3 linked regions of the Arabidopsis thaliana genome follow. The protein of the gene in region 1 purifies or fractionates together with the protein of each later gene. This does not show direct contact. Each region holds a gene or a part of one and is shown in the gene's direction. Other genes may lie near its edges. The genes, in order: PFD3, PFD1 and PDF2.

Region 1 (4,558 bases):
GAGTTTTTTATTTTATATATATTTCGTCATGTTATTGACATTGAAGTAAAACCAAATTGACAAATTGCAAAATAGAAACAGAAGATAACACAAGACCTCAAAATATCCATTTATGTATACTGTACAAATCTATGAAAAAGACGTGAGATCCCTTGTTACAGTGGCACTGTAAAATGAATACCGAAAAAAGAGCGCAAAGAAAAAACTGGCAAAAGGGATTTAAAGGTAACTGGAGAGGGATATATTCAGTAACCGTAGTGGCGTAGTCCTCGAGTGTAAACCAAACAATTTCATAAATGGTGTACCATGGCTCTACCGTCAAAAATAAAATTACATCACTTTTGTACGTGAGCTAATATATTTGGAAATGCAAGCACCAAAGGTCTTCCAAGCACGCAGGAAGAAAGCTAATAACTAAGATATAAGATTTTTTAACACTGCAAAAAGGGTTGATGTCAGTACCTTCCATAATAGGGGATCTTAGATTTGGTGGCATTCTGTTTCAGCTGATCAAAAGCACCTGCCCTGAAAGTATCCGCACACACTAGAGCTGGTTTGTACCCTTTTCTTCTGATGATAATAAGCATACTTGGTACAAGTTGTGGTTTTTCCAGCACCTAACACACAGTCAAAAAGTTTTGGACGATTTTAACAATGAATTTACAACTACACAAAAGCATAGCATCTTACAGAGAGATCAGATACCTCACCTTGTAATCCGACGAACATAACTACACTAGGTTTGGCCTTTTTGGGAGCAAATGCAGACTTTCCTGGATCCAACATCTTACAGAGTTCACTGAAGATCGCCTGAAAGAGAATCATAAGAACTTAATCACAAAAAAAAAAAAACGTAAACCTATTTAATCGAAATTAGACATGCAGAATCTGCGGTAAAGCCTAAGACCTGCTCAATGATACGACGCTTGTTATGGCCGGCTGCTAGATCCTCAAGGTTGACGATTTTCTTAATATTGGTCTGCATCTCCTTCACAAGGGGGAAAGAAACATCGGACTGGAGCAGAGCACGAGTGATCTCGTTCAAGCAATCATTCAGAGCCTTTTCATCGATTATTGTCACATTGTTCATCTTCTGTATGGCGCTCATAATCCGACCTCCAAGCTCCGCCAACACCATTTTCGCTGCTCTCTGTATTCTTCTACCTCAAATTAGGTTGATCTATATATCTGTTGTCGGATTTTGGAAGATCTAGCGAGACGGGAGAAGCTGAGTATCTTTTTTTTTTTTTGGGGGTCAAACATTGAGTATCTTAGATTCATTTCTATATTCTAAAAAATTATAAACCGGTTAGGATCAAAACGATGGGCTTAACATAGCTCCATAGGCCCAATAGTAAGTTGTTCCCCTACTGAATTGAATTAGAACCAAATAAGTGCTAAACCAATGGTACAATTTTCAAAAAAATTCATCGTGAATACGGAACCGGCCTAATTAATTTACAAAACCGCGTCCGTCTTCAATAGTAATGGGCCTGCGAGGCCTTTTTATCCCCTTCTTAAAAAACGACGGCGTTACACTACTCTAATTCCGACTACGGACGCCGTGTCGGAGTCGTCAGATTCGAAAAACATACAAAACCAAGTCGAAGCTTTTAAAACCCTAAATCCCCAAATCGGGAACTGAGATTCCGATTCGAAGATGTCGTCGTCTTCTCCGAGTGGAAGCGGTAGTGATTTGACTGAGAGAAGAGGGATCCCTGCCGCCAAATTCATCCAAGATGTGGAGACTTATCTCTCTCAGTCTGGTCTCGATCCTAACTCTGCTCTCGCCTTTCACCAAGAAAGGTTTCTCCTCTTTCTAGTTCTCATTTTCACTCTGAAAGTCTACTCATTTATCTGAGTGTGTTCTTCTTAAGCTCAAATCCCAGATCTCCTACGGATTTATAATCAATTGAATCCAAAATCATTACTTGTGATTAATCCTTTATGGTTTCTCTTTCTATGGTTTTAGGCTTCAGCAATATAAAGTTGTTGAGATGAAGCTTCTTGCTCAACAAAGGGATCTTCAGGTTCACTTGTTTCTAGTTTATGTATGATGCTTTTAAGTTATCTCTACTTGATGATATCTCACTAGTGTTGGTAAATGTGTAGGCTAAAATCCCAGATATTGAAAAGTGTTTAGAGGTTGTTGCTACTTTGGAAGCAAAGAAGGGTACTGGTGAGGTTCGTCGTTGTTCATTTTCATTTTGTTTAGCTTTGATGTTATGATCAGTGTCTTGCTACTGTTTTTGAGATGGATTGTGAGTATATATAAATGTAGAAACATTGTTATTTAAACTTTTGAATCCAGAATCCAGAGTTTTTATTCCATAATGTTGAACTTTGTTGTGCTTTGATTTCTTACCAATCTTTGAATGCAAGCTTTTGTGTTCATGTGAAGATATTTTCTTTTCTCTTCTGCGCGAGTCAGTCTTACTTGCAACATTTCCTTAGAATCTCATAAGCCTACTTGCATTTGAAAGTCTGTTTTTGAAGATCGAGATTGATTGGTTGAAAAGACAATGTCGAAATCACTAATCAGAGTTCTTATTTATTCCTATGGCCCCTTAAATTAGTGTTAAGTGGTGTTTGATGGTGACAGCAGAACATGTTGAGTTCTTGCTTCACTGGAAGAATCAGTGAATCGCTGACACAGAGATTGTAGTGGGCACGATGTTTTGTCTTTCCTATATGAAAGTGTCTTTGGTTTTTAGACTTACTGTTGATTCTTGTGTTCTTCATCATTATTTTCTCACATGGAATTCTTCTTACAATGCAGGCGCTCTTAGCTGATTTTGAGGTGTCTGAAGGAATATATTCACGGGCCTGCATTGAAGACACAGACTCAGTGTGTTTGTGGTTGGGAGCTAATGTCATGCTGGAATATTCCTGTGAAGAGGTCCATTACCCTAAAAACATATTCTATTCGCTATTTTAAATCTCCGGGACCATAGAATAAGTTCTTATAATCTTTGTTGTTCCAACAGGCTTCAGCTCTTCTGAAAAACAATCTGGAAAATGCTAAAGCCAGCCTGGAGGTTCTTGTAGCTGATTTACAGTTCTTGAGGGATCAAGTCACAGTTACTCAGGTACAGAGATACTTGTAAATTTATCTCATTTCATTTGAGTTAGCCCCTAATTCGTGAGAAGTTACATATAAGTAGGGGCCTGATCTTACTTTAACATAACTGTTAATTATCAAAAACCCAAAATTGCAATTTAGGCAACCTGTATTGTAGATACATACAAAGATTGAGTAAAGAGTAGTCTCTGACTAGGACTTTTTGGTGATCGACAGGTAACTATTGCACGTGTTTATAACTGGGATGTTCATCAAAGGAGGGTTAAACAAGTTACCCCTACTGCTATTGCTGTTGCAGATTCATGAACTAGAGATCCAAATTATAATCGTGTGGGCTTAAACGAGGTAATATGATTATTTGGACACCTTTTGCCTCAATCAGGTTGTTTGTAACTCTTAATCTTTGCTATCTTTATGAAATTTGTGTTGCTGCGACAAACCTATGAATAGAACATTAGCATTGTTATCATCGCTTGCCTTCCGTTTTTCGCTACATACCTGTGGAGTTTTGAGATCAGCTTGTGTTCCCCGCTATTGAAGTATTACTTTTGTAAGGGATGTTAGAGATATATCAAACTATTTGCAGAATCTGGTGGTCTTGACTAATGTCCCAACTTCCAAGTGTTCAGAAGATATGATTCTAGAAGTAAAAGGATGAGAAATTACTAAAAGTCAAGTTGTGTCATTTTCTCCGAAATTTTTATGTTCAATATTGGTGACGGCTTATACTTTTGGTTAGCAAAAAGTGGAAATGGGAAACAAAACGTGATCAAATCGAACCTTTTTATCAGCTTTTCTCATTTGTGCATATGCATTTAAAGGAATGAGATTCATTTTCTGAATATAACATCTTTTCTTGTCACTGATACGACGTTTTATAGTAAATCTTTTGGGAGGATTTAACCAACCATTATTAAAACAAACTCTTATTTGATGATTTGGTCATGATCTTTGCCATATTCAAATACTTTGGGTATAGGTTATTTTAGGCATCAATTTGGGTATCATGTTCTGTGTAATTCCCTTTAACAAGTTGAGAGTATTATTTATGATCGTTTTGATAAAGAATATTAGTACGAGAGAGCAAACAAAAATAGGGCATTCATCAACGGATTCTGCTTCCACTGCCATAGAAAATGAACCTCTCAATTAATGATGGTCCATATTTCACTTATTGACTTTCACTTCTTCTTCTTTTTTGACAACTTTTTATTTGTTTATCAATTTTATTTCCTTATTTTTCCTCCAAACATTTCCTTCATATTTGGCCTCTTTTAAACCACTCTTTGCACCAATATTTTTTAAACCACTCTTTACACCATTATTTTGAAATTATCTAATATCTATGACACTAACTTGATACATTGTACATCTAATTTCCGGAAAAACACTTCTTCATGATTATATACGATCTCGACATTGATGTATATTAGTGGTTGGTTACAATAAAATAGTTTGGGAATACATGGACCATGA
Region 2 (3,524 bases), on another chromosome or scaffold:
AACTTTTCCCGTTCCACTGCTGTTTGCAAGTAAATCAGTTGGATGCTTAATCGAAGACGTTATCAAATCATCAATTTCCATGTTCGAACCTGCACCTTCCACACTGGCCACCAATTCTGTGTCTACTGTTGGTGACGCAAATCCCATTCTAACATCAGCATCTTCTTCCCCGACACATATTATATCCAATGCATTTGAGCCACCCATGTCCTCATCCAAGAATGGGCTCCAAAACTCCACATCATAAGATTGGGGTTTTACTTCTATAATCTCATCCCAAGTAAGATCTTCGCTTCCTTCATCCACTAGATCTTCATCATCAAGATCTTCAGATAAAATTTCACTAACAAGAGGACCTCGTTCACAACCTATAACTCTTTCTATAGTTTCAAGTTCTGCAACAAATTCTTCATCTTCGGAGGACAGCAAAAATTCTTTCAACCCGACCTTCGATATACTATCTTCTGATCCACATAAACGTTTCGACTTATTCCCTCTTCCGTCATCTTCCTTAACTGAACTGGTCTTCACTAGCCCACCGTCAACCTCAGAATTGTTTAAAACTCTTTTACAAGATGTTCCAAACTTTACAAACATGTTGGTTCCAACATTTGCTTCCAATATCTTCATAAAATAACTTAGCCCCACATCAGTCGTCACGACGACCGGTGGTGTTTTATCTCCGGTGGTAAAATCTCTTATATTTGGGGTACAGAAGCTTAAATCAACCTTCGTACTCGTTGAAATTCCAAATTCTACTCTAATGGCTTCCACGAATTCTGATAGCTTAATACCTTTATATACAGGCACAATTCGAGATTTCATTACCTTATTAACCTCAACATACCACTTCTCATCCTCCTCGCAATTCCAATCCCCGCATATTACATAACAGAAGCCATCCTCAGTTCCCTGCAATATATAAATTTTTTATCTTAGACAGTCAATAATATATCAGCGAATATTTTCTACTATTGTTACCAATCCATTTTTTCTTACCATCGTTATGATATCTTTGTTAGTTGCTTCAAACTTCAGAGCTTCTCTTTCTTTTGTTCATCGTCATTCAAACTTCGATGACATAGTTATTCGTTCCATGCTTTCTCCGGTTTGCAAAAACAAAATAAACCGGTTTCCCCAAACTCTTACCCTAAATAACCGATTTTACTTGATTTAATTAATAGGGTCAATTAAGTCTTTTTCCCCCTTATAATTGATCACCCTTATAATTGATCAGAAGTGTGCCTGTCGGCAAAACTTTTGCTCAACATGTTTTCGAAAGTGTATGATAATGCAAATCACCCTTAAAATATAATATGGTAAAATAATTTGGTGGTGTTAGCTGAATTGGTTACGATACAAACAATGGTTTGGGTGGTTGATTATACAAGAAAAAAAAGACAATGACTTTGAGTCTTTGATTTACAAAATCATGGTACAATCTAAAACCAAATGGGTAAATTAAATTGTGTTATTGGGTAGAATTGTTTGTTCCAATGCAAACACATATTTTTTTAAAAGTATAAAATCATCGTTAATTATAAATGGGCCGATTTGACCCAATAAAGCCTTGATAAACCGGGCTAAGCCGTCTGAAACCCGACCCGGGTAGTTCTAACTTTTTGACCCTAAAACGAAAGACCCTTCTCTAGCACGTCGGGGTTCGTTCAAAGATCAAGATCTGCAGACATGGCGGACGAAGCAACCAGAGCTGTGAGTACCTCTCTCTCTCTTAAATCAGCTCAATTTTCTAGTGGAATATTCTTCTTTCCCCAGTAAGATGTTGCAGAAAATGGAATTGTAATGTGTATAGTTACAACAGGCTTTTATGGAGATTCAAGCTAGCATGATTGAACTCACTGGGAAGCTCAAACAGGTGAATCCTCACTTTCTTTGTATTTATCAAGTTTTAGAATCAAACGTGACACATTGTATAAGGGTTTACTTGTAATTTGTTAGTTCTTGAACTGTGTTTGGTTTTATAATCCCTTCTTTCATGTTGTGTAATGACAAAATTGGCTTTCCTAGGTTATTGTCATGTGGTGCTGAAAAACTGAAATGTGAATGTGGATGGGTTTTATATATAGGTGCAGAATCAGATGCGCAACAAAGAGGGAGATAGAAAGCGAGCTTTCTTAACCTTGGAGGAGCTGAGGCCATTGCCTGAAGAGACAAACACCTACAAGTCAATAGGCAAGTGATTCAATTCTCTGGTTTTGAGACAAGGACTAGTAAAGTTTTGGTCTAATTTGTGTTTTATTCTTGTTTTCAGGAAGAACGTGAGTGGTGGTTATTAGTCAGTCCAACTAGAGGCCTTTAGAGAATTTTGAAGGCTGATTATAGTTTGTATGGTGAACAGGTTTGTTCTAGAGCCCAAGACAGTGCTGGAGGGTGAACAAGAGCAAAAACTCAAGGACAGTGAAGCTGCCGTTGCTTCTCTACAGGTAACAATCATTCCCTCTTTCAACATCTTATTGGGTTATTAGGAGATCATTGAGATGCTGGTTATCAAACATGTTTTGTTTTCGGGATGATTTTTAGACATCCAAGGAATACTTGGAGAAGCAGGTAGCAGAGGTTGAGAACAACTTGAGGGAGCTGTTGCAGCAAGAACCGGGCATTGCTCAACAGATTATGTCCATGTCTATGTAACTTTTGTATTATCCCAAACCTTTGAGTTTGGAGAGCTTTTGGGATTGAAACCATAACATGTTCTAGTTAAAAGTTGTAACATTCAAAAGTTTTTGTTCGATCAGTATTGTTTTAAAGCCTCTGGTCTATGATATTGCAAAAAACTGAGATTTCTTATGCGACAACAAATGCATGATCTATCTAACTCGAAAACAAAAATTTTAACAAGGATGAGGTCTCTCTATGATTCTTCGGAGAGAAAACTCAATCCTTGTTCCACCGTTCGGTATGCTTACCGGCTTTCGTTGTCCGGATGAGAAGACTTTGTTTCCGGTGTGGTCTGGCTCTGTTTTCGGTGTGATTCGGCTCATATTTCGGGTATTTGTTGCTAAAATGGAATTCGCTTTGTTTCTTGAGGGAAGATTAGGATAAGTCGATTGAATAATTTTCCGGCGATCTTGGCCGGAATTGAAGCTTTCTGATCAACGGAGACTCTCACATCTTCAACTTTGCATGTGTCTTCTAACCTGCTTCCTGCTTGCCACATGTCTAATATAATGCATTTAAGCTTTTCCTTCAGCTTTCTTATTGGACTTTGTTTTCTTTTGTTTGGCTTCCTTGGTTTAGTGTTTGTAAAATATTGGCATGTTACTTTGGCTTTCTATACTAAATAAAACACACTTTTGACAAAAAAAAAAAAAAAAAAAGACTACAACTCGAGATTGCATCTAACATTGTGAATATATATAAATTTAACCTCACAATCTAAACACAAGTAGATGTAATATATATTATGAATTCAGTGAAACAATAGTTAAAACTCAAGTTGATCAATCATCAATAGCATGTGAGCAATAAGTGTCAAAAGAGATACACATACACATCAAACCCCA
Region 3 (4,311 bases), on another chromosome or scaffold:
AGAGGACAACTACATCTACTTTATAAATAGCCCCAAGCTTGGTACAATATTTTAGTGATTTGGAATTACAAACAAAAATATTTTCTTTATCTCTTGTAGATCAGATTAGACAATCAAGAAAGCATATCCAAAAAGCTTTTATCCAATCTACGATCTGATAACATATCAATAACCATCTTTATGGTGGAAGAATCTGCAGAGAACCCACACACCTTCATTTCTTCTATGAGTTCAACTGAAGAGATTAGACCACTACCTCCAAGATGTGCCCTGATAAGAATGTTGTACGTAAAATCATCCGGAGTACACCCATCCTCCTTCATTTTTCTAAACAGCATATCGGCTTCAGACAACGAGCCTTTCTTACATAGTCCTCCAATCATTACATTGTATGTCACGACATCAGGTTTCACTCCTTTGTCAGAGAGGCTACAGAATAAACTCCAAGCATCATCGACCTTACTAGCATTGCACATCCCGTGAATGATGATATTATAGATACCAATACCAAGAGTCATCCTACTCTTCTGCATTTTCTCAAATATCTCCAATGCTTTATTTAGTTCACCATTGTCACACAAACCATCCAGCAAAATACCATAAGTTACAACACTTGGTGGCACACCACGAGAAACCATCTCTTGGAAGAGTTCTTTGGCGGCGTTAAGTTTTCCCGATTGACAAAACCCTAGGACAAGAGTGTTATAAGTGATTGTATTAGGAATCAATCCTTTCGAAGAAATCTCACGAAAAAGTCTCATACCATCATCAACTCTCTTAGCTTTGCAGTAGCTATTTATGAGAATACTATAAGTCACGATGTCAGGTTCGCACCCTTTGCTAACCATCAGATCAAACATCTGATTAGCCTCATGTAAGCAATTCTCCTTACAAAACCCATCAATTAATGAATTATATGTAATGGTGTCAGGAGCTATACCTCTTGTGATCATCTCATTGTACAACTCTTTAGCCTCTAGAAGCTTCCCCTCTTTCACAAAAACATCAATCAAAGCACTAAATGTGACAACATCGGGAATGATATTCCTTCCAATCATCTCCCTCAACATCTTTGCACCATCATCCCATTTACCGTCGTTACAAAGACCTCCTATAAGAGAACTATACGTAACAACATCAGCTTTAATCCCTTTCATCTCCATCTCATTGAAAAGGCTAAGCGCATCGTCAAAGCTCCCATCTTTACAAAGACTATCAATAACAATACTATACTGAACAACACTAGCTTTGATATTTCTTTCTTCCATCTTTCTAAACAAATCCAAAGCCAAAGCAGAGTTCCCTGACTTACACAGTCTATTCAAAACCGGTCCATAAGTAACCTCATCAGGTTGAAAACCATACTCAACCATCCTATCAATCAAAACCAAAGCTTCAGACACTCTACCCTTTAGACAAAGTCCATTGATCAGAGTGCTAACGGTTACAAGATCCGGTCTTTGCTTCATTTCCACCATCCGATCAACTAACGCAACCGCTTCAGAAACTCTACCCTCGAGGCAAAACCCGTTAACCAAAGTCGAAAACGTGATTGTATCAGGCTCATACCCAAGCTTCCAAGCTCTCCCAAGAACAGAAAATGCGAAAAGAAGTTTCTTTTTTCTACAATAGCAATTGATCATAATGGTCATAGTATACATGTCATGCTCAATCCCATTCAACTCCATTCCCTTGCAGAAACCTAACACTAAATCATACTGTTTCGTTCTAGCAACAGCACTACACAATCTATTGAAATCGATTGGAGTAGGTAAAGGACGAGATTGAATCATGGATTCGAAGAGATCAATAGCATCATTAACCTTAATATCAACAATCCCATTCCTTAATCTCTCTTTATAAGAAAGCTTCGCTTCGGTGATACTAGAATAGTGTAATAAAGAAGTACCTTTCTCAAGAATCTGAGTAAAGTTCGAAGCTTTTCGATTTAGAGGAATCAATCTCTGTATCATCTTCTTCAATGAATGAATCGTTGGTCCTTTGTGCTGTGTGAGAGAGAAGAGAAGAAGAAGGAAATGAAAATTCCGGTTTTGATTCATTCATATATTTAAACCCGGTTCAATGTTTTGATTTAAAAATCAAAGCGGTTTTAATTGGGAAAGGTACGAGTTAAACCCAACCTTGTTTCTTCATCTTCCTCACTCTCTGCGCCGCGTTTGCTTCCATCGTTCTCTCGATTGTTTCCTCTCAAGCGAAGCTTCTTCTTCTTCGATCTTCTTCCTCGTGTGTGGATTCGTTTCTGAAAGTAAGTATTTTTGTTAGTTGTTGATTTTTTTTTGTGGTTCAAATGGTCTTAAGATTTGTGTCGATATCGATCTCGGAGTAAACAGAATCTAGCTCTGGAATCGTAGAAATTTTCACTGAGACTTCTTAGATCCCAATCAAGCTTCGTTAATGTTAGAAAATTAGCTTAGATCATGGAATATATGTGTTGAGAGTTGATATAAGTAGACGTTGAAACCCTAGTTTGGAGAAATAGCCCTGATTGTTGAAAAGGATGTTAAATTGGTTGTTGTTATCGTTTCTATGTTTGAGTCTCTGTTGCCATAGTTTGAGATTGGAGTATTATGTAGGAGATGATACACTGTTAGTGAACTCATATACGTCTACTTTGTGGAATGTTCTGTGTTGGTTGCTTCTACTTGTATAAGTGTATTTGATGCTATGAGACTGATGGATTCTGAAGGATAAGCTATGTCATTGGTTTAGATGTGGCTGTTGTAGTATTTAGATCTATTTGATGGAAAAGGGCGTGATTGTTCGTGACAAGATAGTGATGGAATGATTGTAGGATTGATCTTGATCTGGTAAAAGCCTTATGCTTCACCATGTTTTGTATTTTATAACTTCTGAGAGAATAATGAATTAAGTATGAATCATTCTTGAGGTAAGATAGTTCTCTGCATTGGTTAAGTGATTAGTATTCTTTCCAATGTGCTTGGAATTGTTTTGTAACAATTGTGTTTTTCGGTTCGTAGTTGTGTCAGATGCAAATGTTTCTCTGAGTGTTGTTGTTTGAGTTTCTTTATTGATTTACTCTCATTTTTTGCTTCAACTATGCAATTCGTGATTTCTTGGATCTAATTTCTGTAGTAGGATCGAAGTAATGGCCAGCAAATCTGGAAGCGGTGGCCTAAGAGAACCGCCGAATGAGCAAGCTGTTTTGAACATGTATGAAGGCAAGAGATCAGAGCTAAGCCAAATCTACTCCAACATAACCGACCTCGAGATGCAAGTGAGCGAACATTCTCTGGTCATTAACGCCATTCAGCCTCTCGACCAATCGAGGAAATGCTTCCGCATGATAGGAGGCGTTCTTGTCGAAAGAACCATCAAAGAGGTACTACCAGCTGTCCAACGTAACAAGGACGGACTTGAAGAGGTTGTGAGGAAGCTATACGAGACATTGGAGAAAAAGAAGAAAGATCTTACAGAGTTTGAAGCTAAGTATAAGATCAGGATAACGAAACAAGAAGATAACAAGGAAGGAGGTAACAAGAAGGAAGGTAATGCTCAAGGTGTTCTTGTTGGAGCTGCCAGTTCAAGCCAGTAAAACTCTATATTTGGCAGTTTGTTTTACTGTTGTATCTCTTTTTTGGATCTTATGGTTAAAAGCCGTAAACTTTGCTGGAAAAAATCAACATGTTTTGAATGTCACAAAACTAGTAGACTGGAGAAATGCCATATTTATGTAGATCCGTTGTGCTAGAGAAAGATTTCAACTTTATAACCGGAAAGTGACCATTTTTTTACATTATGACTGAACTTTTTTGAACAACAGAACCAAAACATCTCCCTCTCGCAGGATTTTTCATATATCAGCTCTCTCGTTAAGCCTAGCGGCGGCAGTAATAGAAGCCGCTACACCACCAGGGTGAGTAGACAAATTAGGATTGTTCCTCAGCTCAGCGCTCACCACTCCCTCTGCGTCCTGCCTGGTCACAGCTTTATCTGCGGCTAACTTCCCGGTCGCACCCTAATAAGCCATCCGGTTCAAACACATTTAGACAATCTTAAAACTAAAACATTAAGACATTGAAGATGTTTTTAAAATTGGGGTTTAACCGCCAAAACATCAATGAGCTTGATTTTATCCTCATCACGGTCTATGGTAGCGTTGTGATTTGCTGCTGATTGAGCAGAAGCGGCGATTCCACCAGGAGCAATCACATTAGTGCCACAAGCTCTAACCTCTGCCGCTTGAATCGCTGCTGCGTCGCTTTGATCCACCGGTTTGTTTCCAGCGGTTTGCACAGTCGCTTCCAATGCTTCTCCAATCGTTATTGCACT

Evidence for each region.
Region 2: the proteins of PFD3 (region 1) and PFD1 fractionate together in Arabidopsis thaliana (co-fractionation; one large-scale study listed by BioGRID). This does not show direct contact.
Region 3: the proteins of PFD3 (region 1) and PDF2 fractionate together in Arabidopsis thaliana (co-fractionation; one large-scale study listed by BioGRID). This does not show direct contact.

Annotation. Positions count from the first base shown.
Region 1 is NC_003076.8:20,079,069-20,083,626, forward strand, and holds PFD3 (prefoldin 3), read left to right. Parts: upstream 1-1,531; 5' UTR 1,532-1,660; coding exon 1,661-1,806; intron 1,807-1,972; coding exon 1,973-2,030; intron 2,031-2,112; coding exon 2,113-2,184; intron 2,185-2,779; coding exon 2,780-2,899; intron 2,900-2,987; coding exon 2,988-3,089; intron 3,090-3,298; coding exon 3,299-3,388; 3' UTR 3,389-3,974; downstream 3,975-4,558. Other genes in the region: AT5G49500 (Signal recognition particle, SRP54 subunit protein), read right to left, coding at 463-617, 706-810, 908-1,138.
Region 2 is NC_003071.7:3,043,955-3,047,478, forward strand, and holds PFD1 (PREFOLDIN 1), read left to right. Parts: upstream 1-1,568; 5' UTR 1,569-1,689; coding exon 1,690-1,713; intron 1,714-1,822; coding exon 1,823-1,876; intron 1,877-2,087; coding exon 2,088-2,193; coding exon of another isoform or gene 2,194-2,197; intron 2,198-2,272; coding exon 2,273-2,279; intron 2,280-2,359; coding exon 2,360-2,444; intron 2,445-2,541; coding exon 2,542-2,652; 3' UTR 2,653-2,950; downstream 2,951-3,524. UniProt on the Arabidopsis thaliana protein: Binds specifically to cytosolic chaperonin (c-CPN) and transfers target proteins to it. Binds to nascent polypeptide chain and promotes folding in an environment in which there are many competing pathways for nonnative proteins.
Region 3 is NC_003074.8:7,965,953-7,970,263, forward strand, and holds PDF2 (prefoldin 2), read left to right. Parts: upstream 1-2,036; 5' UTR 2,037-2,266; intron 2,267-2,625; exon of another isoform or gene 2,626-2,866; intron 2,867-3,114; 5' UTR 3,115-3,127; coding exon 3,128-3,574; 3' UTR 3,575-3,753; downstream 3,754-4,311. Other genes in the region: AT3G22470 (Pentatricopeptide repeat (PPR) superfamily protein), read right to left, coding at 114-1,973; AT3G22490 (Seed maturation protein), read right to left, coding at 3,833-3,997, 4,087-4,311.